4 linked regions of the Elephas maximus indicus genome follow. The protein of the gene in region 1 interacts with the protein of each later gene in a pairwise test. Links are inferred from orthologs where the notes say so. Each region holds a gene or a part of one and is shown in the gene's direction. Other genes may lie near its edges.

Region 1 (7,285 bases):
GAGTTGCCACTGCGTTATCTTTATTTTTGACCAGGGAAACCCTAAGAAGTGGCTTTGAGAGTATGACTTTTTTTCTTTTAATTTATTTTTTGATTGTACTTTAGATGAAGGTTTACAGAACAAACTAGCTTCGTATTAAACAGTACACATATTGTTTTATGACATTAACAACTCTACGAGTGTCAACACTCTCCCTTCTCAATCTTGGGTTCCCTATTACCAGCACGACTTTTGAAATCCACTTTCTTTTAAAAATTGAAGCCTAAAACTCTAAATAAGAATGTCTATATCCCGTTAAACCTGAAGAGACCCCACCAATCTGTTCAATTATGATATTGTTATAATCTGGTAAGCCGTTTTTGTTTGCATGTTTTGCTTTGTTTTTAACTACATAGCAAGCTACTCCCAATAAAAACATACACTACAATTAAAAACTGCCGTGACTGGGAGGACGTACACTTGTTCTGTTAACCACTCTTGTGCTCCCTCTTGCTGCCACAAAGAAAACGTTCACGTTGGAGACCTCAGTACATTCCTTAACAGAGTGCTCTGTTTCGGCAATGATGATACGGATTTGTGCATAAATCAGGGCTCTTCTGAAATGTTTTGTCCAAAGCATACCATGTAATAATTTTTAAAGTAAAATGCACGAATTAATAAAAGGGGGAGGGAATACAAAAGGAATATATAGAAGAATTAAGATCTGCACCTTTAGCCAAATTCATCCTGTCTTAGCCCTGTAGTACAGACCAGTGTTCCTCACAGTATAAAGTGCTTAGGAACCCTCCCCAGGGATCTTATTAAAATGCAGATTTTTGATTCAGTAGGTCTGGGTGGAACCCTCCATTCTGAATGTCTATAAAGCTCCCAGATGCTGCTGTTGCTGCTCCTGGGACCACATTTTAAGAAGCAAGGATATTAATGATGGCCATATATATAATATACACCTGATAGCCCTTTTTAAACTGTCAAAAGTGATGTTATCAAAGCAGTGAAATAGATCTGAGGAATTTATTTGTTCATGGTATTTACGCATTCTGGAACACAGTTTAGGCAGTTAGGCTCAAACCGTTGCCTTGGAGTCGATCTCGACTCATAGCGACCCTATAAGACAAAATAGAATTGTCCCATAGGGTTTCCAAGGAGTGGTTGGTGGATTTGAACTGCCAACCTTTGGGTTGGCAGCGGATCTCTTAACCACTGTGCCACCAGGGCTCCACAGTTAGGCTCAGCAGGCCTTATTTCTGTTTCTTTTCATTTCAAAGGTTGACTTAGCTCCTACCAAGATAATCTCACGTTTATGACTAGGCTTATTTTAAAAAAAAAAATGAAACCGTTGCCTTTGAGTTGACTCCTACTCATAGCAATCCTGTAGGGTGGGGTAGAGCTGCCCTGTAGGATTTACCAAGGAGCAGCTGATGGGTTCAAACTGCTGACCTTTTGATTTGCAGCCATAGCTGTTAACCACTAGACCACCAGGACTTCCATAGTGAACTCTAGTACTATCTATTTGCCTACTGGCTTCTTGAAAACCCTGCTCTTCTTTCATTCAGCTCCTAAGAGGTTTTATTTGCATAAGCCTATTATATGTGACAGAAACTCTGATGGCCTAGTGGTTAAGAGCTACAGCTGCTAACCAAAAAGTTGGCAGTTCGAATTCACCAGGCGTTCCTTGGAAACCCCGTGGGGCAGTTCTACCCTGTCCTGTAGAGTCACTAGGAGTCAGAATCCACTCCACGGCAACAGGTTTTGTTTTGTCTTTTGTGATTTGCAATGGTACATATTTTAATATTTTTACCATCTGAAAACATTTCAGTAGGAAAGGTAATAAAACTGTATGATGAGTATACTTTGGACATTAAAGAAATAGTTACAGATTTTAGTCACAGTTTATGGCTTTACTCTTAATGGCTAAGAAAGTAAATGACACATTTCTTATTGTTTTTACTGCTTGGGTAATATACATATTTAGCTTCCTTGGGGGAACATTTAAATTCATTGACTAGCTCTGATCTGAATTATATGTTTTAATTTGTTTAAAGCTGTTAACGTAACAGAAACTAACTGCTTATGTCAATGTAATAATGAAAATATTAGCTTTTTTTTTTTTTAACTGCAAATTCTCTAAATGTAAGATGTCTAAAAACAGAGTGGAGGTGGATTGGACAGTCTGCAGAGTATGACTTGGAATAAAAACATCTCAGTTAAGCCAAAAACATGGCAACCAATATTTTCTGTTATAAAAATATTTTAGATGAATTTAGTTTTTATGAAAGCTGTCTGAAACTGAAATGAATCACAGAAGCTCTCTGTTTATTCACAGGCCAGCAATAATAATAATACCTGCAGCACAAGGCATACGTCTTCTTGGTGCAAGGCCAGCAAGCCCCTGCTTGGTTCAGAAGTCGGCTTTGCCAAGTATGGGAAAAGATATTACCTGGTTATGTTCTGTGATATTAGCCTTCACCTTGAGGAAGCTTGTCAGTGAAAACAAAACCAAGGAGAGCTTTTGCAGGAAACTGATTTTAACTGTCCACTAGAGGCTGTAATGAGACCGACTATGTCACTTTAAGCCAACCCGAGGTTTAAACCGTAGCCATCATTGATTTTTAAATGAAAAAAAAAAAAAAAAAAAGGAAAAGAAAGTTGTAGAAATGAGTAAAAGTGAACAGTAGTAGTAGCTCTATTTAAATAGCCATGTAGATGTTTTTAGAGTTTCAAAATGTGAGAAAAAAAATTATTTCCGGGGCTCGACACCTTCCTATTTAGTATACTTATTTTTATTTCTGAAGCACATAGGCTCTACAATACTGTTATTTAAAAGCTGACACATTTCTCCTGGTAATTCTGTATCCTGCTTCAGTTGGTGACTAACCGTTAGGTCATAAGTAAACCCAGCCAAAAGGCCTCTCCAATACGGCTTACTGTATCAAATACAGCCACGACAGTGGTGGCTTCCATAGAGAAACTGACGTGGAGGCATCGTGTGTCTAGACACTCGTTCTAAGCACCTGAAGGAGGTCAAATGCTGGCTCGACACCTACTGGTCTTCCAGAATTCTATGCAGCGAGGAGAACGCAGCACTGAGCTTCTCGAGCAGGATGTGCCTTCTCTTCCTCCAGGTGCCACACCTGTTGGCAAGGTGCACCGCTCCAAAGAAGAGTCCTTCCCATCGAGCTAACACCTGGAAGGGGGTACATGCGGAGGGGACCGGGTAGTGGGAAGCTGAGAACCGCACTTCAAAATTGAGTCCAGAGGAAGTACTACAGCGTGGATTCAAGGGAGCTGCCATTTGATGCTCGGTTTGCTTTCTCTATCTCCAACACTGGTTACCTCATTTCCGATTAAATTAATGATCCCGAATTAGCTGCGAGCGGAGTGTGCGGGTCGTCTATCAAGACTAGAGCTGAGGAGTTGAATATCCGAAGCAGATTTCCGGACCCGCAGAAAGAGAAAGAAGCGCAGGGAGGTCACCAGCTTTCCCAGCCAGTGAAGGTGAGGGTGCATGTGCATTCGGGGAGACCCTGCAAACTTTCCCGAGTTGCAGGCAAAGGCAGTCCCCGCGGCCCCAGCGTCTGGGTTCCGGAACGCCGAAGCTAAACCAGCTGGAGGATTATCACAGTCCGCGCTCCTAGATGCTTCCTTCTCTTAGTGCCCGGGACGAAGGGCACGTCGGGATTAGAACTGGCCAACCTCCCCTCCCCCTTGGGTATCTCGTTATCGCCGAGCCGAAGCCTGACACCCCTCGGAGGGTACCCCACGGTGCCTGAGTTGCACCCCGCTGTCGCTCTCTCCCCTCCAATTAGGTGCTGGGACCTGGGGAGTCGCGCGAGGCCCGACCGGTCACCGCTAAAATGACCTCATCGCCTCAGCTCTTCGCCCCTTTCTCAAACCTGGAAGGAACCGTCTCCTCCGGCCCGCGCGTCGCCCTCCCGCGCCAGCCGCACTTTCGGGATGGGAAGTGGCGGCCGGTCCCGCGGCGGAAGCGAGCCCGCCTACCCGGGGTCGGCGGTCCCCGGGCGGGCGCGCACCGAAGGGTTAAGGGAGCGGGCGGGTCGCCGCGCCGTCCGCGCGCCGGGATCCGTGCGGCTCTCCGGGCCGCCTGCCAAAGGGTGCCCGCCCCCCTCCCCCCGTGAAGTAGGATCCTTGAGCTGCGGCGGCGGCAGCCAACTGCTCCATATTTGGCTTCTATTACACATTTACATACTGGAGCGAGCGAGCGAGCGAGGAGGGAGGGCGGGCGGGCGAGAGGAGGGAGGAGGGAGGGGAGGGGAGCGGGAGGAGGAGGAGGAGAGAACAGAGTATACCGCAGACATCATTTCTACTACAGTGGCGGAGCCGTACAGGACCTGTTTCACTGCAGGGGGATCCAAAACAAGCCCCGTGGAGCAGCAGCCCGAGCACCAGCAGCCTCAAGACATTGTTTCTCTCCCTCTGCCCCCCCTTCCCCACGCAACCCCAGATTCTTTTACACTTTACAGTAAGTGGCTATTTTTTTTTTCCTCCTCTGATTCTTTCTCTCCCCCCTCCCCCATCTCCTCCCCTGATTTAGATTAAAATCCTCCCCCCTCCCGCCCCGCTCTCCCGAGGTGGGCAAAAGCAACAACCAGCAAACAAACCCCAAACCCCAAACGGCGGCACGGCGAACAGCTGGAAGAGGAGCAAAGGAAACCGACGCGTCGTGTTGTGTTGTGCGTGTACATACAACCTTTCCCGGCTCCAGCCTCCCGGGGGCCGACACCCCCACTCTCGGCGCAGTGAAGAGCCAGCAGTAGGGCAGCCGGGCCCGGGTGGGAAGGGTGAGCGCCCGCCGGGCGAGGGGGCGCGCCCGGGCGGGGGGCGCGGGTAGGGACAGCGGTGGCGCCCCGCACCGGCGGCTGCTGGTCCCGCCGCGAGTGCAGAGAGCCATGTCCTCCCTCGGGGTGGCGCAGGGGGAGACAGTAGCCGCTGGGGGGTCGCGCGGCCCCCTCCCCACTCGTCGTCCCCGCAAGGGGCTGCGAGAGCGAGTGGGTCTCGGGGAGGACTGGGCTTCCCCGCGGGTGGCCGTCTGGCCTCCGCTCTCCGGGGCTGGGGTCTCCTGGCGGAGGCCGGCCTTGCCGGTTTTTCGGCTGCGGCCGCGCTGGCAGCCGGATCAGGACTTTGCGCACGTCCGGGCGCAGGGAGGGGGCGCACGGGGGGCGCGGAGAGGTGGCCGCAGGGACCGGGCGGGGAGCGGTTGTGCGGGTGCCGGGAGTGCGGCTGGCGGTGGCGGCCCTGGCTGCCGCCGCCCTGTTAGTGCCACTGCTTCCTGATCATGTGCAGCCGCCGCTGCTGCCTGGAGCCGGGAGCCCGTGAGCACCCTGGGGCCCGCCGGCGCCCCCGCCAGCGCCCGCGGCAGGAGCGGAGGAGCCCCGGCAGGCGCTGCCCTACGCGGGGAGTGAACGGCTGCACGGCTGCCGGGCGGGTGAATGAAGCCGGGAGGAGGAGAAGGGGGAGGAGGAGGCGGAGGAGGAGGTGCTGCGGCGTTTGGGATGCGCCCCGGAGCCCCGCTGCTCGTTCACTCTAGGCCGGGCCGGGCCAGAGACTCTGCCATTCCCGCGGCGGCCGCCGCCTCCTACGTGGTTCCAGTGCTGCGCGCAGGCGGGTCCCGCAGAGGGCAGGGAAGGGGCCGGCCGGGCGGAGAGAGAGGTGAGGCGGTGTCGGAGCGGGTTGTGAGTGTGTGCGTGTGTGTATGCGCGCGCTCGCCGAGGGGAAGGAGGGACGTCGCCATGGGGTGGGGGCCCTCGGTGGCCACTTGGCTGACTCTACAGCGCCCAGACCCCTCCTCAGCCCCCCTCCCCCTCCCACCCCCAGGCCGCCTTCCTAAACTCCGTGGCTTGTGCTTTCATTTTATTTCAGACCACGTAGGGGGCTGACTGGAAGCGTTGAAACAATTCAGGTTTTTTAGGGAGATTAAGCAAGAACCTCAGTGGGGGGTGGGCGTAGGGTAGTGATCGAGATTGTGCCAGAAAACAAAAAAAAATCACAATTTCTAAGGACGGTGGGGTTCGTGCATACCCGTGGCTGCTCTGTTTTGTTTTGCTTTCTTGGTATATAATCCTACAGATAAGAGGGTAATATAAATACTTTGGAAGATTGGAGAATTGCTGAAGAGTAGTAATGGCAAGGGGGGAAAAAGCCAGTCGGAAGCTGGTTATATAATGCGCGAGGTGGCTAACAAGAACGGCAAGCTATTTTTATTTTGTTTACCGTATGCTGTGCAGTAGGGACTCCTCCAAACTGGTTCTGTCCCCGAAGAGATTCTTAGCTTCCTTGTGAGATCCACAGGATACAATTAGCAAAATTAGAAGACCCTATTACACCCACAGAATAAAAACTAATGCCTTAGAGTGGCAATTCCTTGCAAATCCGGTCGTGCATGCAGGGGAATGTGTGTATGCAAATAGGTTCTCCTTCGGCAATCTAGTAGTCACATCTCAATGACATTCATGTTTTGTAATGCAGGCTGTTCTTAATATTGAAACATCATCGTTAACATGTTGCACACAGCAGTGGGTAGTTACTTGATGGTTATTTTTAGTCATGCTAGTTAACTTTTTTCACAAAGGTGAGCTAAGCCTTTTCTATTTGGGTTTCCGAGGAGACCTGCAGTTCCTAGAAGCCCCTGCTAATCCCACCCTCTGGTTTATTTGATGGGTAAAGGTAGTTTGGTACTTGTGCTTCTTGGGAATGAAGTTTATACCCGAGAAAACTACCAGAGAGAAGGAGGAGAAATCCTGCATATGAACTCTCGGAAAGGGATTGCGCCAGGACGGCGAATGCTGTGCCGCTTCATCGCTGATTGCCCTGGAAGTGTGCATGCGTCGGTCAGTGTTTCAGCAGCTCCGGAAGTGAAGGGCCTTGGATGCCAGTCTCTTCCACTTAAAGCAGAGGTCGAAGGGCTCCCCTGAACCTCCTGACTGCCTGTCTTTCTCATCATGTAGATACATGTCAGTGGTGTAGGTTTTCCTGCACTTAGGCCAGCCCTGATCAGTCATGTAATTAGATCAGGCTGCCATGGCAACAGACAGTGTTCCTCGTCCATTCAGGTGGGTTTGTCTTGTGCCTGGACTACTCCAAGTGTTTTATGCACAGTGTTTGTGCTGCCCAAGCCAGACAAGAGACTTCACTAGTTCAACTGCATCTTCTTTCAGTAATTTGGACGGGAGACACTAAATTAGGTTTCTAGTTACTCAACTTTTGTAAGAGAGACCAAGAATCTGTTCTTACCGGGTGCAGTATGTAAATGTATCACCCCAGACAATGA
Region 2 (7,611 bases), on another chromosome or scaffold:
AGAGTGCCACATCTCTCTCCTATAGAGTGGTTGATGGGTTCCAACTGGTGACCTTACATTTAGCACCTAAGCTCTTAAGCACTGTATCACCAGGCTCCAGAATTACCATAAAACCAAAAACCAAACCTGTTGCTGTCGAGTCGATTCCAACTCATAGCAGAGACAAGAGTAGAACAAGACAGAGTAGAACTGCCCCATATGGTTTCCAAGGAGCGCCAGGTGGATTTGAACTGTTGACCTTTTGGTAGCAGCTGTAGCTCTTAACTGCTAAGCCACCAGGGTTTCCAGAATTACCATATGGTCCATAAATTCCACTTTTAGGTATACACTGGAGAGAAATTCAAACCTATGGGCTCAAACATAACAGTGATTGAAAGGATGGTGCAGAGCCAGGCAGCGTTTCATTCTGTTGTACACAGGGTCACTATGAATCTGAACCCACTCCACCGCACCTACCAACAGCAACATGTCCCAAATATGCTGTTGGAACATTCTTATACTAAAATATACTATTAGTACTTAACTTAGTATTCAGTATAACCAAAGAAGTAAAGCAGAGGGAGCTAAAGCTGTCATTGGGACTGTGCAGCACAGGAAGTCCCATCCTCCACCCAATTCTTGCTGCGCTCCCAGAAAAGCGTGGACAGTTGCCATGGTGACCAAATCCCAATTCCAGGGTAATGCTAAGAAATCTCTGGAGCGAGACGACCTAATTCAGGCAGCTTTTATTGGTTGGGGCAGCTGTGTTTGTCATGATCCCACCCCCACTAGGGTATCCCGGGGCTCCTGGGTGGGGCGGTGGGCCAGCGCTCCCCAACAGGCCGAAGGCAACAGCCCATGGAGCGCGGGGTTCCGGGAGTCGCAGTCCATCAGGCAGCTACCGGGTGATTGCACATGCCAAGGTGGCGCCGTGACTGAGGGCCCAAGCAGACCCTGCGTGCGCTTTAGTCTGTCCGCAGTCAGTACTTCTGGCAGTCAGTGCGCCTGTTGGCCTGGCAGTCCCAGGGAGGAACCCAGGGGCGGATGACGGGCGTCACGTCGGCAAGGGCGGTCTGGGGCTCACGGTAGAGAACGCGTGTGGAGATGAATAAGGCCCTGGGCCGTGGTCGCTGCCCGAGGCTGGCGGCGCCCGGGTCGGCATCCCGAGGTCCTTCGCGGGACCCTGAGGGGAGAGAGGAGTTCCTGACATGGGACCCTGACGGATGCGGGGAGTCTTAAAGTACAGGGAGTGCTGAGGTCGATGTTGGGAGTGGGCCGAGGGCCATTTGGCAACCCCCCACCGGCTTGAGGTAGAAAGCCCCCGCTGGTCTGTCCGTTCAGATCCCTCTCCAACCGGCCCCAGCAGCCCTTCTCCCACCCGCTCTGCAGCCCCTGGGCCCACTCGCCCATCTCCCACCTCCCCAACTCATTTATCTGTCGCTTCCTTAGTGAGCAAACCCTGCTCAATCCTTTTCTCCCACAAACCTCCACTCCCCCGTTCTTCCCCCACACTCATTTATTTATTCAACGACTATCTCTTGATCATCTATTAGGTGGTTTGGCTGTCAGTTACCAAGCCCTCACGGGTCCCCCTTTCCTTCATAGAACTTGAGGTCTCTGCCACAGACCCTAGTGCCTACTCCAGGTAGACCAGCCCTTCCACCTAGCTTTGAGCCCTTTACATGACATTCAACCAAAAAACCAAACCAAACTAATTACTGTTGAGTCGATTCTGACTTATAACAACCCTATAGGACAAAGTAGAGCTACCCCATAAAGTTTCCAAGGAATGCCTGGTGGATTCCAACGGCTGACCATTTGGTTAGCAGCCATAGCACTTAACCACTACCCACCAAGGTTCCAAACCCAGGTACCCCCCAAAGTGGATCTCCTGTATCCCTGGACCACCGCAACAAATACTACGTGTGCCCCAGAACCTATTCTATATAGACCTCAGACCCACTCCACATCGGTCCAGGACCAAACACATTGGCCTGGGACCCCCACATCAACCTAGGATTCCCCACATCAGCCCAGCACCACTTATATCAGCCTAGGACCCCTCACATTGGCCCAGAACCTCCACATGGGCCCAGAACTCCCCGTATCAGCCTAGGAAAAAAAGAAAAAAAACACTGTAATGGAGTCGATTCCAACTCATAGTGACCCTATGAACAGAGTAGAACTCTTCCATAAGGTTTCTAAAGCTGTAAATCTTTACAGTTGGAGTGGCTGGTGAGTTTGTACTGCCAACCTTTTGGTTAGCAGCCAAGCACTTTAGCCACTGCACCATCAAACCAAAACCAAACCTGTTTCATGGAGTCGATTCTGACTCATAGTGACCCTATAGGACAGAGTAGAACTGCTATATCAGCCCAGGACCTCCCAAAAGGACTTCAGCTACCACATGGACCCTAGGAGCTGTCCCAGGCCTCCCAAAGAAGTGCTGAGGGGCTACAGCTCCAGAGAACATTTCCCTGAGCACCAGACAGGGAATGTAAGCTCTGGGACCCCAGAGCAGAGGGGACTGCTCCAACCTATGAAACTACAAAACATGCTTTTTTTTCTTTTTCCAAAAATACATATAAATGAAAGTGTAAAGCACAAGAGAGTATTTTTGCTTGTAATCCCCAATGTGCAGGTGGGGGAAAGCAGACTCACAGGCTACAGAACACACCCCCCTCATGAGTCGGCCTTTCTGCCTGAAACAACTCTCCTTTCTTTCGGATTATAAAACCCATACCTGGTAACTGTAGAAAACATGAGCCAAAGCATCAGGAAGGAAAACTCACGTGGAATCCTCCACTCTTCACCTGTTATAAGCATTTTCCCATATTGTTAAAAGTCCTTCCTAAAAATTTTCTGGTTTTTTTTTTTTTTTTCTGTTGATAAAGGTTACACGGGGTCATTATACAATTTGGGGGAGATTGACAGAAGTATGAAGAGCACCAGGCACTTGGCTTGCAACCCTGGGGCTTCTTTTCTGGCACCCCTTTGCAGAACTCTCATATATTGTCCCGCACCCTGCTTCCTCCCCTGCACCTCACCACTGCCTTGAGTGTGTTAATGGGATTAACACTATTTTGAACAGTTGGATAATACTCCATGACATAATAGGAAGTAATTGACCCCACCAGGTTTGACTGTTAGGTACTTTCGTAGTAAATTAGGACCTTTCATAGTAAATTTTGGTGCCTAAATCTTTGTCTGCATTTTGGCTAAATTTCTCAGCGTCCAGAAGGTTTTTTGTATACAAGCTGCTCCAGTGCTTCTAAGGAGCCCTAGTGGTGCAACGGTTAAGCACTCAGCTACAAACCAAAAGGCTGGCGGTTTGAACCCATACATTGGCTCTGCAGGAAAAACCCTACAGGGCAGTTCTGCTCTGTCACATGGGGTCACTATGAGTCAACAACCAGCTCGACGGCACCTAACAATACCCAGTGCTTCTGTGCCAGCTTATATTCTCACCAGTGAATGACCCCACCCTGTCAGCACAGGATATAAGCATGTAGTAAAATCCCTGCTCATTTTATGTTTATAACTTGTCGTATTTCGTTCGGTTGTGATATATTCACCATAGGAAGCTTGGAAAATATACAAAAGGTTATTTTTCCTTGCCCTTCTAGCTTTCCCTCTGCTTTTAAAGTCTCTTTCCTCCAGCCCCTCCTTGCCCTCCTTGCTGCTCCCATCATCAGCCCCAACTTGGCACATGAGGCAAGGAAGACAGCAGCAATAATACCCCAGGGGCAGGGGGCAGGAGGCCTCTATTGCATTGCCCCTTACATGGCACGAGTGGCTATTTTCAAATTAAGTAAAATTGAAAATCCAGCTCCTCATTCAAGTGCTCGGATGGGGCAGTGCAGATGGAGCACATTGTTACCTATACAGAAAGTTCCATGGGTAAGCGTTGCTACTCCACATGTCACGGCATAGCCCTTGGGTAATATCAGGTTAAAAACCACAATCGCAATTCTTTGAGAACAATGTCCATATTGTCCCCCCTTTAAAAAAGCCAAACTCGTTGCTGTCGAGTCAATTCCAACTCATAGCAACCCTACAGGACGGAGTAGAACTTCTCCCTAGGGTTTCCAAGGAGCAGCTGGTGGATTCAAACTGCCATCCTTTTGCTTAGCCAACAAACATTTCACTGCTGTGCCACCAGGGCTCCATATTGTCCCCAGCTCCTCATAAATGTTTGTTCAATGATGAACTGAGGAGGAGGAGATACTAAACGAGTAATGAAATAAAATGTGTTCAGAAGAGATGGGCGCACTATGAGGGTGGAGGGACAAGGATGACAATCAAGCGGCCACGTAGAGGAAGCTCTTCCTGCAGTGGTGACATCTGAGCTGGAATGAAAAGCAAGTGCAAAGGCCATGCGGTGGCCACTGGCTTGTCCATGGCCAGGTTAGATGGGAGTGATGCGGACAGGGCCTGGCTCAGTCCCTGGGGGCCTTGGCGGGGGGGGCAAAAACGTAGGGTACTGAGAGGTTCTAGAGCAAGGTTACCCACCTTGTGATGTGGTCTCTCTGCACTGGCACCTCTCTGCAGGCTCCTGACTGCTGCCTGTGCTTGTTCAGAGCCATCGAGGCCACATGCCCTGTGGTCAGAGAGATGCTTCCACTGGCGAGAGGCTTTGCCTCTTGCAGGAGCACCCAGACCCCAGCACCAAGTGAGAAGGATGGGGCAGTGCGGCCTGCCAGCCCCGGGGATGCAGAAGCCTGGCGCTTATGCTTCCGGCAGTTCAAGTATTGCACGGTGACTGGGCTGCAGCAGGCACTGAGGCAGCTCTGGACACTCTGCCACCTGTGGCTGTGGCCCGATACTTGCTCCAAGGAGCAGATCCTGGAACTGCTGGTGCTGGAGCAGTTCCTGAGCTCGCTGACCTGCAAGATGAGGTCCTGGGTGCAGTCACAGGGCCCCCAAACCTGCAGGGAGGCCACCAGCCTGGTGGAAGACCTCATGCAGATGTTCCAGCAGGAATGTAAGAAGCCACAGGCTCGGTGGTCCCCAGGGACTGGCTGACCCCCAAAGGCAAGTGGCTCCAGGAGGAAGTAGGAGCTGGGGTTTGGGTTCATACCAGATGAGAGCCCCGCGTCTTTCCTGCAGGTGGCCCTTGGGTAGTATTGCCATCTGTCTTAGTTCTCTAGTGCTGCTATAACAGAAATACCAAAAGTGGGTGGCTTTAACAAACAGAAATTTGTTTTCTTACAGTTTAGGAGGCTAGAAGTCTGAATTCAGGATGCCGGCTCTAGGGGAAGGTTTTTTCTCTCTGTCGGCTCAGAGGGAAGTTCCTTGTCTCTTCTCAGTATCTGTAGGCCCAGCGTTCCTCAGCTCCTTCGTAATCTTCATGTGGCATGGCATCTATCTTCCCCCATCTCTCCTTGCTTGGTTGAGCTTAATCTACTCTTTTTATATCTCAAAAGAGATTGACTTAAAACGTACCCTACACTAGTACCGTCTCATTAACATAACAAAGAAAACCCATTCCCAAATGGGATTATAACCATAAGTATAGGGGTTAGGGTATATAACACATTTTGGGGGGACACAATTCAATCCTAACCACCATATTAACAATATTAAGTTAGGCCAAATGGGGGTCCCTGGTAGTTCATCTGCGTGGTAACATCAATACTTCATTCTTTTTTATGGCTATAATAATAATATAATAATATAGCATAACATATTATGTTAATTATAATCATAATCAACTATTAGCTGAAAGGTTGGCAGCTCGAACCCACTCAGAGGTGCCTCAGAAAGGTCACAGCCTTGAAGACCCTGTGGAGCACCATTCTACTCTGCACCCAAGGGGTGGCTGTGAGTCAGAATCAACTTGACAGCGATGAGTTTGGTTTGGTTTAGTTGTTTGGTTCAAAGTGGACTTCCAAGAAAAGTTTTGGTTTGAGGTTTAAAGTTTAAATATTATTTCAGGGCAATATTTTAAGGGTTCATGCAGCCTCAATGGCTCCAGAAATTCTGGATTCCATTGAGAATTCACCAAAATTTAGTAGCTTCTTTATTCATTAAACACTTCTCTGACTGTGTAAGTTTTTCATTAGAAGAAGTTACTTCTGACCATTTTGTCATTGCTTTAGTAGAGGCATCGGAACGTTGGAGTTCCCTATTGTGCTATTTTTGGTGACATCACTACATCAGATTATTTCTGTTTGCTTTTTTTTTTTTAATAATAGTCTTATTGAAATATAATTCACATGCTATAAAATTCAAGTCAGTAGTTTTTAGTATATCCACAGTTATGCAACCATAACCACACCACAGCCTAATTCCAGAACATTTTCACCATCCCCAAAAGAAACCCCAACTTCATACCCATTAGCAGACACTCCCCATTCCTCCCTTCGCCCAGCCCCTGACAACCACTAATCTACTGTCTGTCTCTACGGATTTACCAAACCTGGGCATTTCACGTCAATGGAATCCACGAAATGTGGCATGCATGAGTAGAACTGCTGCTTAGGGTTTTCAAAACTATGACCTTTCAGAAGCGGATTGCCAGGCCTGTCTTCTGAGGTGCCTCTGGCTGTGTCAAAACCACCATACTTTAGGCTAGTAGTTGAGTGCTTAACTGCTTACACCACCCAAGGATTCCTTTGAAAACATTATGTTCAATGAAAGAAGCCAGACTCAAAAGGCCACATTTTGTGAGTTGGAATAGACTCGATGGCAACTAACAACAGCAGCAACGTTTTCAAGGTTCATCTATGTAGCAGCATGCATCAATACTTCATTCATCTTATGGCTATAATAATAATATAACATATTAATATATTATGTTAATTATGTACAAAAATGGCATAACAGGGGCATCACCTGACCTCCTCCATTTTTACAAGGGGGACGGAGAATCAAGATCAACAGCCCAAGGCTGATTCCTACTCTGTAGAGGTCAGACATGCTTCCTCTCCCCATCGTCTTTCCCAATTCTGACACTCAGCATCCCTCCCAGGGCATTGTCTATTTCTCTGCTGAGTTCGATAATTTGTTGCAGTGGCCACACAGATCTCAGACCATACTCACATTTACGGGGCTTATTAGGGAAGGAACAGGTAACAGTTCAGGTTCAGGAATGCTCAGGATACAGATCTTCCATCAGGACAACCTCTTCTCACCTGTGCTTGCAAGCACGCCTCTCTGTGGCCCCTCGGCCTCTGCCCTGCACAGGCAAGTGTTAAAAAGCACTTTTAGCTCTGCTGATAAATACTCCAAGACACCCCACTCTGCCAGTCAGCCTTGGCAAGAAGCAGTGGCAGAGAAACAACAGCAGCAGAACCAGGAGACTGGCAGGAGATGGTGTGGTGGGCTTCCCAGCTGACTGAGTGAGAAAGATGAGTGCCTTCAGGCTCCGGAGGCTTGCTGGAGGAGTAGGGTGCCTCTGGGCACTTGGTGGAGGCTAACTTCCTCCTCCCAATCATTTTACCAGTCCAAAACAGTCACTAACAATTAGCCCTTCAATAGGACAAAGAGCCCTCAGGGTGAGGTTACTTAGTACCAGTCATTCCGGCCTGCTGCACATGTCCACCTGATTTAGTCAGGTTCGCCAAAAGTCATCTCGGCTTCATTCTTCCTGGTATCCGATAAAATTTAACTGAGAGATTATTCCCTTGG
Region 3 (7,059 bases), on another chromosome or scaffold:
GGCGGAGCAGGACGGGAAGCAGTCCCTGGGTGACCTCGGAGGGAGGAAGGGAGGGCCGCCCGGCAGGGTGACCCTCGGGTCCAGCCAGAGCTGGCGGCGCCCGCACACCTGGCACCCAGGGCAGGGGGCTGGCAGGGGGTGGGGCTGGGGCAGACCTGCTTGCCAGGTGCCCTGCTCTGGGGAGGAAGGGGGTGGGCGAGGGCTGCACAAAGGAGCTCTGTGTGGACAGGGGTAGGGTAGGGTGGGGTGTGCTGTGCTGGGGGGGGGGGGCACTGATAGCTCCAGGGGGTGGGGCGGGGCTAGCTCCCCTTGGGGGCATCGATGGCTCCAAGGGGACACCTAGTGGCAAGGGAGGGTAGCGCATCTGATGGCCGCAGTAGGAGGGGCTGGCTAGAACCTGGGAGGGGGATAAATTAGAAGTCAAAAATTAAAACTAGTGGGACTAGGACAGTTGGAGTAGGCTGCAGAGGAGACGGTTGACTCTGGGCAACAAGGCGGTTTGGTTTAAAGGAGCCCAACAAACCTAAATTCAGACTCCACCTCTTCCATGTCATGGCTGTTTGTCCTTAAGTTCATAACTTAACCTCTCTGTGTCTCTGTTTAAATACTAAATAAGTGGCAGCTGCCATTATTATTTTCACCATTTTTAAAAATTATGACACTAGGCTGGACTCAGGTTGAGTGGGTGAAGGGTTGCAGGAGAAGAGACTGGGAAGGGTGGTGAGCAAGTCCTAGAGGGGCACAGATCTAAGGAGGGGAAGTGATGGGGAAGGTCTAACAGCAGCAGTAAGAGCCCCTTTGATGCAGTGTTTTCCATTTGAGGACATCCCTGGGACTTCACTCCAGGCTGGGAGGGAAATGGTGTGGGGGGAGGAGTGTGCAGGCTGGAGAGAGGGTCATGAGGCCGGAAGTGAGAGCTGGGGCTGGCAGCCAGGCTCCCCTGGGGAGGCTGTGGGTGGGGGAGGGGAGGCAGCTGGGGAAGGGGTGGGGTGGTCACAGCCGCAGTGGGGAGGGTGGGGCTGGGGACTCAAGGATGTGGGCTGGCGCTTCCCGGCACTGTGCACAGCAGGTTGGGGCCCCCAGCCCCCTGCCAGCCAGCTGGTGTCCCCATGGGCAGGTTCAGACATACTGACCCAGAAGCAGACAGAGACGGACAGAAGGGCCCTTTTGACTTGGTTCACAGATCAGGGAGGGGGCCAAGAGTATGGCTGCTGGGTTGTGGTGAGGAGGGGAGCCAACTGCTCTCCCTCAGATCCTGGAGGCTGAAATAGAGAGCAGTAGACAGCCAGATCTGGCCTGAGGACATGCCCAAAGGTCTTCACGAGTGGGTGGAGCAGAAGCACCCACTGGAAAGGAAGTTTTTCCTTTCTGCCAAGATCACACCCTCAGGCCCCAAGTGCGATGTCTCAGAAGGGGGAGGCTTGATGAGCCCCACCCTCGATAAAGGGGGATGGTAGCCTCTGGTGGGCATCTCCAAGAGGGCCTCAAGAGCCATGGGTCACCCATACTGTTAGAAATCAGACTGGGAGATTCCACAGTCTGAGCCCCTTCCCTTCTTTGTGAGGTCCTTCCTGCAAGAGCAGGAGTGAAGTTCTTAGAGCACTGAGAGCCTGGCCCTTGGGGGGAGGGAGGCAGTCCACAGTCCACAGCCAGGCATGGGAGAGAGCAGAATCTGAATGAATGAGTAGGTGGGATGAGGAAGAGCCGAACCTGGACCCTGAAGCTAGGGAAGGGATAGTGGACAGAAAGCTGCTTCACCTGGATGAGCAACAGAAGAGCCCCTCCCATGCCATTCTGTGGCCTTGGTCAAAGTCTCTTTCCTTCTTCTGGTCTCAGTTTCCTCATCTGTAAAATGGGAAGGGCACAAAATGGCACTAGAACAATGTCCCCACCGGGGTAGCCAACTAAAAATACAGATCCCCAGATGTCTATTCAGATCTATGAGTCACACTCCCCTGGACTAGGGCCTGGGTATCTGGAATGTTACACAGCTCCCCCCAAACTACCCCCCCACCCCAGCCCAGAGTTTGGAAGCCAGTGGGTTAGATGATTTTAAGGTTCCTCCCAGCCTTAAATTAGACCACAGCTCTAGAAGGAACATTTTCAGGAGTAACTGAAGGAGAGTTGCAGGAACTGGGAGTGGAAGGAGGCTTTGGACTTAGGACAGAATTAGGAATCCTGCTACCTAGCAGCTATGTGACTTCAGGCAAGTTACACAACAGCTCTGAGCCGGTTTTCTCTGTAACATGGGGATAATAACCCATGCCTCCTGGGTTGCTGTGAAGATTCAGTGGGTCGTATATGTGGAGGTGCTTTGTAGTTGGCAAACTGCTGCCCACCGAAGGGGAACGGAGGAGTGTCCCCTTCCACCATCCTGTCCCCAAGTCAGCCCCAAAGCTTTCCTGTGGAGTAATGACACTGGCCAGGATGGCAGCTGGAGAGAGTCTACGTGTGTCTGTGAGGGGTAGGCCATAGGGGTCTGGCCAGGGCCAAGCACTAGGCAGTGGTTGGAGTCAGCCTTTAATACCCTCATGGTGGTCATGGCCCATTCAGCTCCCAACTCCCCGAGATCCCAACTCCTGGGAATAGCCAGGGCTCTGAGTGCCCAGGTTCCCTTGGGAGTCAGACTTGCCTGGGCCTAAACCCCAGGTCTGCCCTGATCAGCTCAGGGAGTCAGTTGGTAGATATTTATGGAGCATCCATAGTCCAGGCCCTGTAGTGGGGCGAAGGGATACAACAGGAAGCAAGACAGACGTGATCCCTGGTACTGAAGAGCCCACACCCCAGAGGGAGACACACTAAACAACCAGTCACATGAGTAACTGATTACAGTGGTGGTAAGTGCTATGAAGGTAAAATAGAGAGGGCTCTGAGAAGGGCCAGACCAAGGCTGAGGGTGGGATGGTGGCTTAGAGCCTTTCTGTTGAAGGTGGAAGAGGGGTTAGAGTATCCCTTTCCATATTCTTATCTCACTCCCTCCCTCAGCATCCTTCTTGGGTTACACTTTTGGGTCTGGAAAGAAGTAAGTCTTCGCAGGACGAGGCAAGTCTAATTGCTCTGACCGTCTTCTGTCCATCCATCCATCCATCCCATCCATCCATCCATCTCATCCATCCATCCATCCCATCCATCCATCCATCTCATCCATCCATCCCATCCATTGCATCCATCCATCCACCCATCCATCCATCAACTATTTTTGAAGCACCCCTGTGAGCTGTGTACTGTTCTGGGTGTTTGGAGATACAGCAGCGAATGAGAAAGAAATCCTTGCCCTCTTGGTACTTACCAACTTGCAGTAGATGTTTTCCTCATCTGTAAAAATAGGGGTGATAATCATATTGATCTCAGGTTTACAGGTGGGATTAGATGAGATAATCTATATAACATGCTAGTGCCCCCAAAGTATGAGCTTGTATTGTTGATCCCTGGTGTGATTATTAGATCGCTGACCTCGGGCCCTCTTCACCTTTTCTTTGCAGCTCTTATCCCATCAATAATTAAATCATTTATGATTATCTGATAAAAGTCTGTCTACCTAGATCTTCTGCAAAGTAGACCCTCCATAAATAGTGAGTGTGTGAATAAATGATATTATTTCATCTCTGAGCCTCCATTTCCTCATCTGCAAAATGAGGTTATTAATAGCCCCTACCTCACAGGATTGGTATGAAGAATTAATTAAATGATGCCTGGACAGCTTCCACCCCAATGTGTGGCACACAGTAGGTACACACTAAACCTGAGCTGTCATGGTCCTTTCCAGGTGCTGTCCACTCCCCGAGGCCTGGGCTCAGGCCAAAGCTGCTCCACAGCACCCCCAGCTGACAGCCAACGACTGGCAGAGCCCCCAGGCCTGGAGGCCCCCTCTCTTCCAGGTCAGCCAGGTGTGCATACTAGGGGGAGCACAGAGGAAGCTGGGGGTGGTACCTGAAGGAGGCCGGGCAACTGGGCACGTGGGTGGGGTAGCCCTATGGCCACCAGACCATTTGAGGTATTCAGACTTCTGTTGCCTGTCTTGTTGCCCACAGAGATCTCCAGTGTGACAGCCCAGGCGGCAGAGCCGAGGGTGAGTAGCTTGGGTGCTCCTGGAGTCCTGGAGATGGAGACAAGGAAGAGGGAGGCCATGTCCCTTAATAGGGCTTCCTGGCCCTCTGGCAGAGGCAGAGCCCTCTCAGAGTTTGATCTGGAGTGGTCACCCTGCCCTGCTGAGGAGTTTCCTTCTCAACACGGGGTTCCTGTTCTCCCTGAGCCCAGAGATGCTCGAGGTCTAGAAGAGGGAGAACTGTGAATAAGTGGAACTGGGACTGGTGAGGGGTTCATTGAGCAGGTGGTGGTTTGGGAAAGGCAAGGGCTCAACAAGGGGGTTGGGCTTAAGGAGGGGACTGGAGCTTGGTAAAGGGAATAAAACCTTGTTGGGGGGGCAGGGGCTCAATGAGGATATGGGAAGCTGATGGACTTGGGTGTTCAGTGAGGGACCTCCTGCCCATCCTGCCCAGCAGGTCCTGGTCCCGGCTTCTCGCACCCTCATGTCAGCCCCGGCCCCGCCCGGCGGCCCGCGGAGGACAAGGTCAGGATGCGTGTGAAGCCCCAGGGCCTGGTGGTGACTTCCAGTGCCGTGTGCAGCTCTCCTGACTACCTCCGGGAGCCCAAGTACTACCCCGGCGGCCCCCCCACCCCCCGGCCCTTGCTTCCCACCCGGCCCCCTGCCAGCCCACCTGACAAGGCCTTCGCCCATACCTTCTCCGAGAATCCACGCCCACCCCCACGCCGGGACCCCAGCACCCGGCGCCCACCAGTCCTTCCCAAGGGGGACGACCCACTGCCCCCGCGTGCGGCCCGTCCCATCTCACAGGCCCGTTGCCCCACGCCTGCCGGAGACAGCAGCAGCTCCCACTCCCGACACCGTTGGGACAACGGGCGGGTGAACCTACGTCCAGTGGTACAGCTGATTGACATCATGAAGGACCTGACTCGGCTCTCCCAGGACCTGCAGCACAGTGGCGTGCACTTGGACTGTGGTGGTCTCCGGCTCAGCCGCCCACCCGCCCCGCCACCCGGCGACCTACAGTACAGCTTCTTCTCCTCACCCAGCCTGGCCAACAGCATCCGCAGCCCCGAGGAGCGGGCCGCCCCCCACCCCAAGTCTGAGCGACCCAGCCACCCCCTCTATGAGCCTGAGCCAGAGCCTAGGGACAGCCCCCAGCCTGGCCAAGGCCATAGCCCTGGAGCCACGGCGGTGGCCACTGGTCTGCCCCCAGAGCCTGAGCCAGACGGGCCTGATTACTCAGAGCTCGCTGATGCTGACATCCTTAGTGAGCTGGCCTCCCTTACTTGCCCTGAGGCCCAGCTGCTAGAGGCCCAGGCCCTTGAGCCACCATCACCTGAGCCAGAGCCTCAGCTCCTGGACCCCCAGCCCCACTTCCTGGACCCACAGGCCCTAGAGCCGCTTGGGGAAGCTTTGGAGCTGCCACCCCTGCAACCTCTTGCTGATCCTCTGGGGCTGCCGGGCCTGGCTCTGCAGGCTCTGGATAGCCTGCCTGACTCCCTAGAGTCACAACTGCTCGATCCCCAGGCGCTTGACCCCCTGCCCAAGTTGCTTGACGTCTCAGGCCGCCGTCTGGAGCCCCAGCAGACCTTGGGACCCTGCCCACTGGCCGAGCCCTTGCGCCTGGACTTGTGCTCACCCCACGGCCCTCCTGGGCCTGAGGGTCACCCCAAGTATGCCTTGCGGCGCACTGATAGGCCAAAGATCCTGTGTCGCCGGCGGAAGGCCGGACGGGGGCGCAAGGCAGACGCTGGACCTGAGGGCCGCCTGCTGCCCCTGCCTATGCCCACAGGGCTGGTAGCCGCCCTGGCCGAACCCCCTCCACCACCACCTCCTTCCCTGCCAGGGCCAGGCCTGGTCCCAGAGCTGGAGCAGGAATCTTCCCATCCCCCGGTGGTCCCTCCTCGCAAAAACAAGTGCCGGGGTGTGCGGCGAATGGTGGTGAAGATGGCTAAAATCCCTGTATCATTGGGTCGGCGGAACAAGACCACGTACAAGGTGTCCTCCTTGAGCAGCAGTCTGAGTGTGGAAGGCAAGGAGCTGGGCCTGCGTGTGTCTGCAGAGCCCACCCCACTGCTGAAGATGAAGAACAATGGGCGGAATGTGGTGGTAGTCTTCCCACCTGGTGAGATGCCCATTATCCTCAAGCGTAAGCGCGGCCGCCCACCCAAGAACCTGCTGCTGGGTCCCGGCAAGCCCAAGGAGCCAGTAGTAGTGGCAGCTGAGGCGGCCACCGTGACAGCGGCCACCATGGCCATGCCAGAGGTGAAGAAACGGCGGCGGCGGAAGCAGAAGCTGGCGTCTCCCCAGCCGTCCTATGCAGCAGATGCCAACGATAGCAAGGCCGAGTACTCTGATGTCCTCGCGAAGCTGGCCTTCCTGAACCGCCAGAGCCAGTGTGCTGGGCGCTGCTCACCGCCTCGCTGCTGGACGCCCAGTGAGCCTGAGTCAGTGCACCAGGCACCAGACACCCAGAGCATCTCACACTTCCTGCATCGTGTGCAGGGTTTCCGGCGGCGGGGTGGCAAAGCCGGCGGTTTTGGTGGCCGAGGTGGGGGCCATGCAGCCAAGGGAGCCCGATGCTCCTTCAGTGACTTCTTTGAGGGCATCGGCAAGAAAAAGAAAGTGGTGGCAGTGGCACCTGCTGGGGTCGGGGGCCCCGGCCTCACTGAGTTAGGACACCCCCGCAAACGGGGCCGAGGGGAGGTGGATGCCACAACTGGGAAACCCAAGCGCAAGAGACGGTCCCGGAAGAACGGGACTCTGTTCCCAGAACAGGTGCCCAGTGGCCCAGGCTTTGGGGAGGTGGGCGCTGAGTGGGCCGGGGACAAGGGTGGTGGCTGGGCTCCTCACCATGGGCACCCAGGTGGGCAGGCTGGCCGAAACTGCGGGTTCCAGGGGACTGAGGCCCGAGCCTTTGCCTCCACTGGGCTGGAGAGTGGGGCATCAGGCCGGAGCAGCTACTACAGCACAGGTGCACCCTCGGGCCAGAATGAACTCAGCCAGGAGCG
Region 4 (7,085 bases), about 44 Mb from region 1:
GTTTTAAAGCAGTTGTTGATGGTTTGGTCTCTAGTTCTCTTAAGATTCCTTAACAGTTAAAGAAGTGTGTTTAGGCACAGCAGTATTGATTTTGTGAAAGATACCATGAGAAACAAAACAATGACTTCCCTTGGGCTTTCCACATCAAAGATCCCAATACATAATTTTATTAATTTGGTGTTGTTGTTGAGAACATACACAGCAAAACATACACCAATTCAACAGTTTCTACGTGTACAATTCAATAGCACTGATTACATTGTTCGAGTTGTGCAACCATTCTCACTCGCCTTTTCCAAGTTGTTCCTCCCCCACTAACATAAACTTGCTGCCCCCTGAGTTCCTATCTAATCTTTCAAGTTGCCGTTGTCAATTTGATCCCATATAGATACTGAAAGAGCACAGTGCTTAGTCTGCCTTAGAAGAAGTACAGCCAGAATGCTGCTTAGAAGCCAGGATGACGAGACCTTGTCTCACACACTTTGGACGTGTTGTCAGGAGGGATCAGTCCCTAGAGAAGGACCTCATGCTTGGTGAAGTAAAGGGTCAGCAAAAAGCAGGAAGACCCTCAAAGAAATGGATTGCCACGGTAGCTGCAACGATGGGCTCAAGCATAACAACGATTGTGATGATGGCACAGGACCGGACAGTGTTTGTCCTGTTGTACATGGGGTCACTATGAGTCAGAATCGACTTGACAGCAATGGATTTGGTTTTGGGGTTTTAGAATGGCTATAATAATAAAAAAAAGTTGGCGGCGATAACAAGTGTTGGCAAGGATGTGGAGAAACTGGAACTCTCATCCATTGTTGATGAGGATGTAAAATGGAGCAGCAGCTGTGGAAAACAGTGTGGCAGTTCCTCAAAATGCTCAACATAGAGTCACCATATGACCCAGCAATTCCACTCAGGTACCGTATTTTTTTGCAGTAATGCACCCATGTAAATAACACACCCACATACATATAACATGCATAGTGTGCCTAGGGAAAATAATGTGAAAGGGGGTTGCATGGTTGGCAAAGAGCATATAACATGCGTTATTTGCACAAAATACGGTATAAACCCAAGAGAACTGAAAACACGTTTGCACAAAAACTTGTACACAAATGTTCCTAGCAGCATGACTCATACTAGGCAAAAAGTGGAAACAACCCAAATGTTCACCAACTGATGAACAGATAAACAGAAGTGGTATATACATACAGTGGAATATTATTCAACCATGAAAAGGAATGAAGTACTGATACATCCTATAACATGGCTGAACCTTGAAAACATTATGCTAACTGAAAGCAGCCAGACCTAAAAGGCCACATATTATATGGATTCATTTATCTGAAATGTCCAGAACCAGCAAATCTACAGAGACAGAAGGTAGATTAGTGGTTCCCAGGGCATGGGGGTCTGGGGAAATTAGGAGGTATGAGGTTTCTTTTTGGGTCATAAAATATTCTGGAATTAGGTAGTGGCGATGGTTGTACAACATTTTGAATATACTAAAAACCACTGAATTGTATACTTTCAAATAATTAAACTGCTGAATTTTGTGTTGTGAATTTTATCTCAATAAGAACCTTTTAAAAGAAGAGAGAATGGCCTCCGGGTATCAAATAATTGAGGATCCCTGGGGAGAATTGATGAAACCCCTGTTTTGGGGGGTTTTTTGATTTTCAAAATGACCCTTACATGGAGAAAGCCCAAACTGAAGTGACAGATGTTGCATCATTTTATCATATAATCTTATGGGGAAAATTAGGCCAAAAAAAAAAAAAAGAATAACACTTGATTCATTCTTCTTGGTTCTAAACTTCAGTGCATTTCAGCTAGCAGTTTCTTGGTCTCCTAGTTCCAAAATTGCCAGGAGAATAATCTGATTGGCTGGTCTAGCTCACCTTCTCTTGCCAAGTCTTAGCTATGGATAGGCTGGCTTGAGTCAGGGGATTGATGGGCAGAGCTCTGGTGGCACAGTGGTTAAAGAGCTCGGCTGCTAACCAAAAGGTCAGCAGTTTGAATCCACCAGCCGCTGCTTGGAAACCCTATGGGGCAGTTCTACTCTGTCCTGTAGGGTTGCAATGAGTCAGAATTGACTCGATGACAATAGGTTTGGGTTTTTGGTTAACCCACGGGCAATGCAGTATCACACTATATAGAATATAGTCATGTAGTGGCTTTGGGTGAGGTAGAAATGCCCAGCAGTGCTCAAGCCTCCGTTCTCACCCTCACCCTGCTGGTTCTTCCCCCCTCAGTCTATCCACCCTGAGGATTGTCCACTCTCTTCTGTGGCCTCCCAGCCTCTGCTGCCCAGCTGCAGAAACCCTGAGTCTTGGCCCAGCTGCCTTCCCCTCCTAACTCCCTCCTGCTCTTCAAGCCTCCTCTCCTTCCTCCCGCCCCTCGCTTCTGTCCTGAAGAAGCTCTGAGAACATCCTCAGCACCCTGTTACCGGTTCTGGGGAGTCTAAGGTTCAGGACTTTGGGCAATTAAGCTCCAGGCCTTAGACTGGGCTAGAGACGAATGACCCAGGGAATGCTCCTGTGGAAATGGTTTGAGGAAGCTGAGTCAGTCTGTGTCTTTGTCAAGGTTGAGCTGAGGTAATTGGCCTCTGAGGGGTCAGTGCCCTTGCTTTCCTTTTTGTGCCCTTAGCTCCGCCTTAGCAACCCTGCCCTCCCCACCCACCTGCTGACTCCTCTTGCATTTGGGCTGGCAATTGGGCTTCTAAGGCTCCTGGTTCATTGCATTGTCCCGTCCTGAAAATTTGTACTTAAAGAGGAAGGTAAAACTGGGAGAGGCAACGACTTGACCCTTGGCAGGTATTTTGCGGTGTTTTGGGACAAGATTAGGGAAGCTTTCTGGTACGACATCGGTAACCACTTCCTCTGCTTGTATCTACTCACCAGCCCAGGGCAGGAAGCCTCCACTGCCTTCCCAGAATGGACCCTCTCGACCATCTCATGAGTTCATTTTTCACTCTCTAAAATCTTCACCTGAACTGCAACAGAGCCCCTAACACAGTCCCTTCTGCCTCTCTCCATGCCCTTCCTGGCTACCTAACCTGGTTTCTTAGCCTCACTAAGCCAGAGTTTCCTCATCTGTAAAATGGGAATAAAGATAGTACTTGCCTTATTATATAGGAAGCCCTGATGGCGTATTGGTTAAGAGCTATGGCTACTAACCAAAAGTTCGGCAGTTCAAATCCACCAGGTGCTCCTTGGAAACCATATGGGGCAGTTCCACTCTGTCCTATAGGGTCACTATGAGTTGCAGTCGACTTTACAGCAACATGTTTACCTTATATGAGGGGTTATAAAGTTTAAATGAGATAAATATACTGTATTTCCTACAGTACCTGGCACACCATCAGTGCTCAGTAGACATGAGCTGCTACTGTTGCTGCAATTTTATTATTTTATCAATCATGCAACCAAATGCTAAGGTACCCTTAGTATGTGCTAGGAACCTAGGGGTCTGTAGTGCATGTGTTCGGACTCAAAGAGGTTTACATCCACTTGGAGAGAGGAGCAAAACTACCAACCAATGAAATAGTTATAATCTGGCAAAATCTGTCAAAATGCTCAGAACTCACACCCTGCAACTCTGCCTCCTAAATACAGTCTCTCCTTTGCGACTCTTCAGGCCCAGCTGCTTGGCTAGATAAGCCCATCCACAAGATGTGAGGGTCTGGCCTTTGGGGAACCCCTCTGGGCCTCCCCTGGCCTTTCCAGCCAGTCCTCTCTTCTACACCAAGCCAACACCAGACACAGCCCAGGACTGGCCCTGAGTCTCTCATCTCCAGGGGCCAAGGGCGGTGCCCCAGCCAGGTTCTCTGGGGTTGCTGACCTGGGCACAACAGGGGGAGGAACGAGGACTTCGTCCTCACCCTAACCCAGCACCGGAAGAGTTTTGTCTTGGGTGCAACCACCCTAGAAGCGGGTATATGGGATGGGGCGGGCGGGGCAAGGGGTAGCCAAAGGCATTTGTCCCAGGCCTGGCGGCAGGAGGGGCCGCGCCTAGGGGCGGGGAGGAGTCAGGAACCCGGGAGCTCAGCCAGCTGAGAGGATCAAATTCCTTTGGTGTGAACTCTGAGACAGAAACTTGTCAGTGCTAGAGACCCGAGGAGGGAAAGAGCCAGAGGGGAAGACTGGCCAGTCCACCTGCCTGCAGCAGTCCCCCGGGAAAGGCGGGAGCTGCTCACTCAGCCGGCACCGCCACCCTGCCCGCCCCCTGGCTCCTCTGAGCCTGCCCAGAGAGGGAGAACATGGATCCAGAAAGAACACACATAAAGCTTGACCCCAGGTGAGTGAGGGCGCTGGGGCCCCGGGCCAGGAGCCAGTTGCTAAGGGACAGGGGCACCCATGCTCTGGCCTGTCCCCACCTCCCTCCCAGAGCCTTTGGCTCCCAGCATCCAGAATGAGACCAATGGAAGATGGTCTGGCTGGCTGTCCCCTAGGCCTTCAGGTACACGGTGGGGTTGGGCCAGTGTGACATCTCACTCAGGGCCTCACCTTTGCTCTTCAAACTGTGGAGAGAAAGATCCCAGAGGTGGAGTGTTTGGAGGGCTTTCCCAGGGGGAGCCGGTCCATGGCTCCCAAGCCAAGCACAGGGCCATAGACCAGCTAGGGAGCAATCCCGGGTGCTAAGGGCCCACTGCCAGGGAAGCCTGGCTCTGGGACCCTGCTCTTTCTCCCCAGCCAGCCCCTGGGCTGCTGCCCCATGGGAGTGGAGAGAATTGACTGTGGGCTATTTGGCCACCTCAGCCAGACCTGCCCCTGGCCTAAGTGGTAGCCTTCCTAACCACTGGCCTGAGCCCCAGCCTGTCTCTAACAGGACCCTGAGGGGGAATGGACAAGTCCTCTGAAGCCAGGAATGTTTGAGTGTCAGTAACTCATGTGCCTTCTGCCAATCCACTCTCTACTCCCCAGGCTTCACAATTCTGAACACAATTCCGCTATCTCCCCAGGTACACGGCAGACCTTCTGGAGGTACTGAAAACCAATTACAGCATCTCCCCTGCCTGCTTCTCTCTCCCCCCAACTGCAACCCAGCTCCTGAGAGGTGAGTCAGGGGCACTCCACAAAGGAACTGAAAGGAGGAGCCGTGAGTTCCAGACAGAAGTAAGAACAGCTCCAGGGAGCCCAGTCCTGAGGTTGGCCAGCCTGGAGAACCCAGGAGGATGCTGACCCAGTGTCCTTCATGGCTAAGGCTTTGGGCAAGAGCAACTCCTCAAGGAGTCAGTAGCCAAAAGGGGGCCAGGACAACCTAGCCCAGGAGATGAACCCACATGTTGGGTCTTCACAAGCCCCAGCTTAGAAGCCTATTCGAATTAGGGAGACTGCAGCCTGAAGCATTTAACAGACTCCAGGGCCCTCCACAGAGTAAACCCACCTCTCAAGATGGTACCTAAATGATCCAGGCCCCACAGGGCACTCCACAACAGCCATCTTGGGAAAAGGCCTATATCATTCTAGCATGGCGATGTTTTATGAATAATGTTCTTAAAACTTAGATGAAGCTCTAAAAATGTTCTTACGGTGTTGGCCAACCAGATCCTATTACTGAATTGCTTTTGGTTTAAGTTGTTTTCTCCAGTGAGAAGACTAAGATCAGACTGGATTTATTCTGTGGGCACCTAGAACATTGACAGTCCAATGGTCCTAGCATCTTTGTAGCAGATTGGGTTCACGTCTTTTGTTTTCTAACTGCGAGGTTCAGTACCACTGAGATGTGACGGGTAGGAGTTTGTGTCTCTGTGACATCCTTCATGCGCTTCCCAGATTCCTTCCTGATGTTGTTACCTCACGGAATAGATGCTCTCTGAGCAATAGTCCTGGTCAGTGTGCATTAGGAGGCAGATGTGGGCCCTGTCCTTGGGTTATGTTCAGGCTCATTCCAGATACTCCGGTCCAGAGGGATTGCTGACTGCCAGAGAGTGTCCACAGATGCCCTGCGGTCTTTGTGGGTTAGGAACAGTAGGCAGCTGCTACACCTGGCCCCAGAAACCTCCTGTTCAGAGAGTGCAGCTGGTGGTACACGTCTTTACTTATACCAGTGGTCCTCCTTGAGGGGTGATTTTGTCCCCCAGGGGCATTTGGCAATGTCTGGTTGCTACAACTGGGAAGGGGTAGTAGCATCTAGTGGGTAGAGGCCAGGGATGCTGCTAAACATCCTACAAAGCACAGGGCAGCCCCCCACAACAAAGTATTTTCCGGCCAAGGTATCAGTATTTCTGAGGTTGAAAAACCTGGCCTTACGCAGTGAAAGTTGCACTCGTGTTGCTTTGCTGCAAAATGTGCAAATAAAAACACGAAGTGTTCAAAGTGGGGAGACCGTTATGGGTCTTGGAGTCGGCGGACCTTGCTGCAGGTGGAGCTATTAGAGTGGGTAGGGCCTGGAGGGTAGGGAGGGGAGGGTGGGCACTCCTGGGGTGGGGCTGGAGATAGACCGAGTGGGAGGGTTCCCCCAGACAGTGAGGGCTAGATCTGGCCAGATTCAAGGTTTCTGGGTTGGGGGAGAGCAGGGCACAATTGAGTGGGCTGGGCAGGTAAGGTGGGGTCAGGCAGAGAAGTTGTGCTTTATCCCCAGACTCAAGAAGCCAGTGAGGGCTGTGAAGCTGGGAGGGGCTGGATGGAAGTAGTCCTTCAGGACCATTAATCAGTAATCAGGATAGACTGCAGGGAAGATGAGCCTTGAGAAGCAAGGGTATAAATTAAAGGTAATTGCCCCAGTCCAGGACAAGGGACTAGTGTCTGAGCCAGGGCAGTGACAGGGAAAGGGAAGGAAGGGGTAGAAAACAGAGGCATCCAAAGAAAAAGCAGGTGGGATGTGGTAAACATCTAGACATGCTCAGTGAACGAAAAATAGATGCTCATGAGGACTCTGAGGATTTGGTTAATGGTGAGGACATGGACAGAAACAGGAGAAGGGGAGTCTGTCGGAGGAGGTGGTGAAAGCCCTTCCCCTCTTCATTTCTAAACTGCTGTTCCGTAAGATAAATGGTATTTAGGAAAGAGCTATTCTGGTGATGTGATTGTGATCAAAATTTCTACAGGGTTTTTTTTTTTTTAATGGATTAATCCAGAGATTTACAT

What was found.
Region 2: the proteins of ATXN1 (region 1) and ZSCAN1 interact in binary tests that used the Homo sapiens proteins (3 or more experiments, as listed by UniProt). The link is inferred for Elephas maximus indicus from reciprocal best matches to the Homo sapiens genes ATXN1 and ZSCAN1.
Region 3: the proteins of ATXN1 (region 1) and AHDC1 interact in binary tests that used the Homo sapiens proteins (3 or more experiments, as listed by UniProt). The link is inferred for Elephas maximus indicus from reciprocal best matches to the Homo sapiens genes ATXN1 and AHDC1.
Region 4: the proteins of ATXN1 (region 1) and SLC51A interact in binary tests that used the Homo sapiens proteins (3 or more experiments, as listed by UniProt). The link is inferred for Elephas maximus indicus from reciprocal best matches to the Homo sapiens genes ATXN1 and SLC51A.

What each region holds. Positions count from the first base shown.
Region 1 is NC_064819.1:62,016,230-62,023,514, reverse strand, and holds the start of ATXN1 (ataxin-1), read left to right. Parts: upstream 1-4,285; 5' UTR 4,286-4,480; intron 4,481-7,285. UniProt on the Homo sapiens protein: Chromatin-binding factor that repress Notch signaling in the absence of Notch intracellular domain by acting as a CBF1 corepressor. Binds to the HEY promoter and might assist, along with NCOR2, RBPJ-mediated repression. Binds RNA in vitro.
Region 2 is NC_064829.1:87,803,500-87,811,110, reverse strand, and holds the start of ZSCAN1 (zinc finger and SCAN domain-containing protein 1), read left to right. Parts: upstream 1-4,593; coding exon 4,594-4,999; intron 5,000-7,611. UniProt on the Homo sapiens protein: May be involved in transcriptional regulation.
Region 3 is NC_064821.1:67,894,548-67,901,606, reverse strand, and holds the start of AHDC1 (transcription factor Gibbin), read left to right. Parts: upstream 1-4,046; 5' UTR 4,047-4,069; intron 4,070-4,502; 5' UTR 4,503-4,576; coding exon 4,577-7,059. Other genes in the region: uncharacterized protein LOC126071285, read left to right, coding at 3,767-3,878, 4,032-4,046. UniProt on the Homo sapiens protein: Transcription factor required for the proper patterning of the epidermis, which plays a key role in early epithelial morphogenesis. Directly binds promoter and enhancer regions and acts by maintaining local enhancer-promoter chromatin architecture.
Region 4 is NC_064819.1:17,788,103-17,795,187, forward strand, and holds the start of SLC51A (organic solute transporter subunit alpha), read left to right. Parts: upstream 1-4,083; 5' UTR 4,084-4,255; coding exon 4,256-4,293; intron 4,294-4,957; coding exon 4,958-5,052; intron 5,053-7,085. UniProt on the Homo sapiens protein: Essential component of the Ost-alpha/Ost-beta complex, a heterodimer that acts as the intestinal basolateral transporter responsible for bile acid export from enterocytes into portal blood. Efficiently transports the major species of bile acids (taurocholate).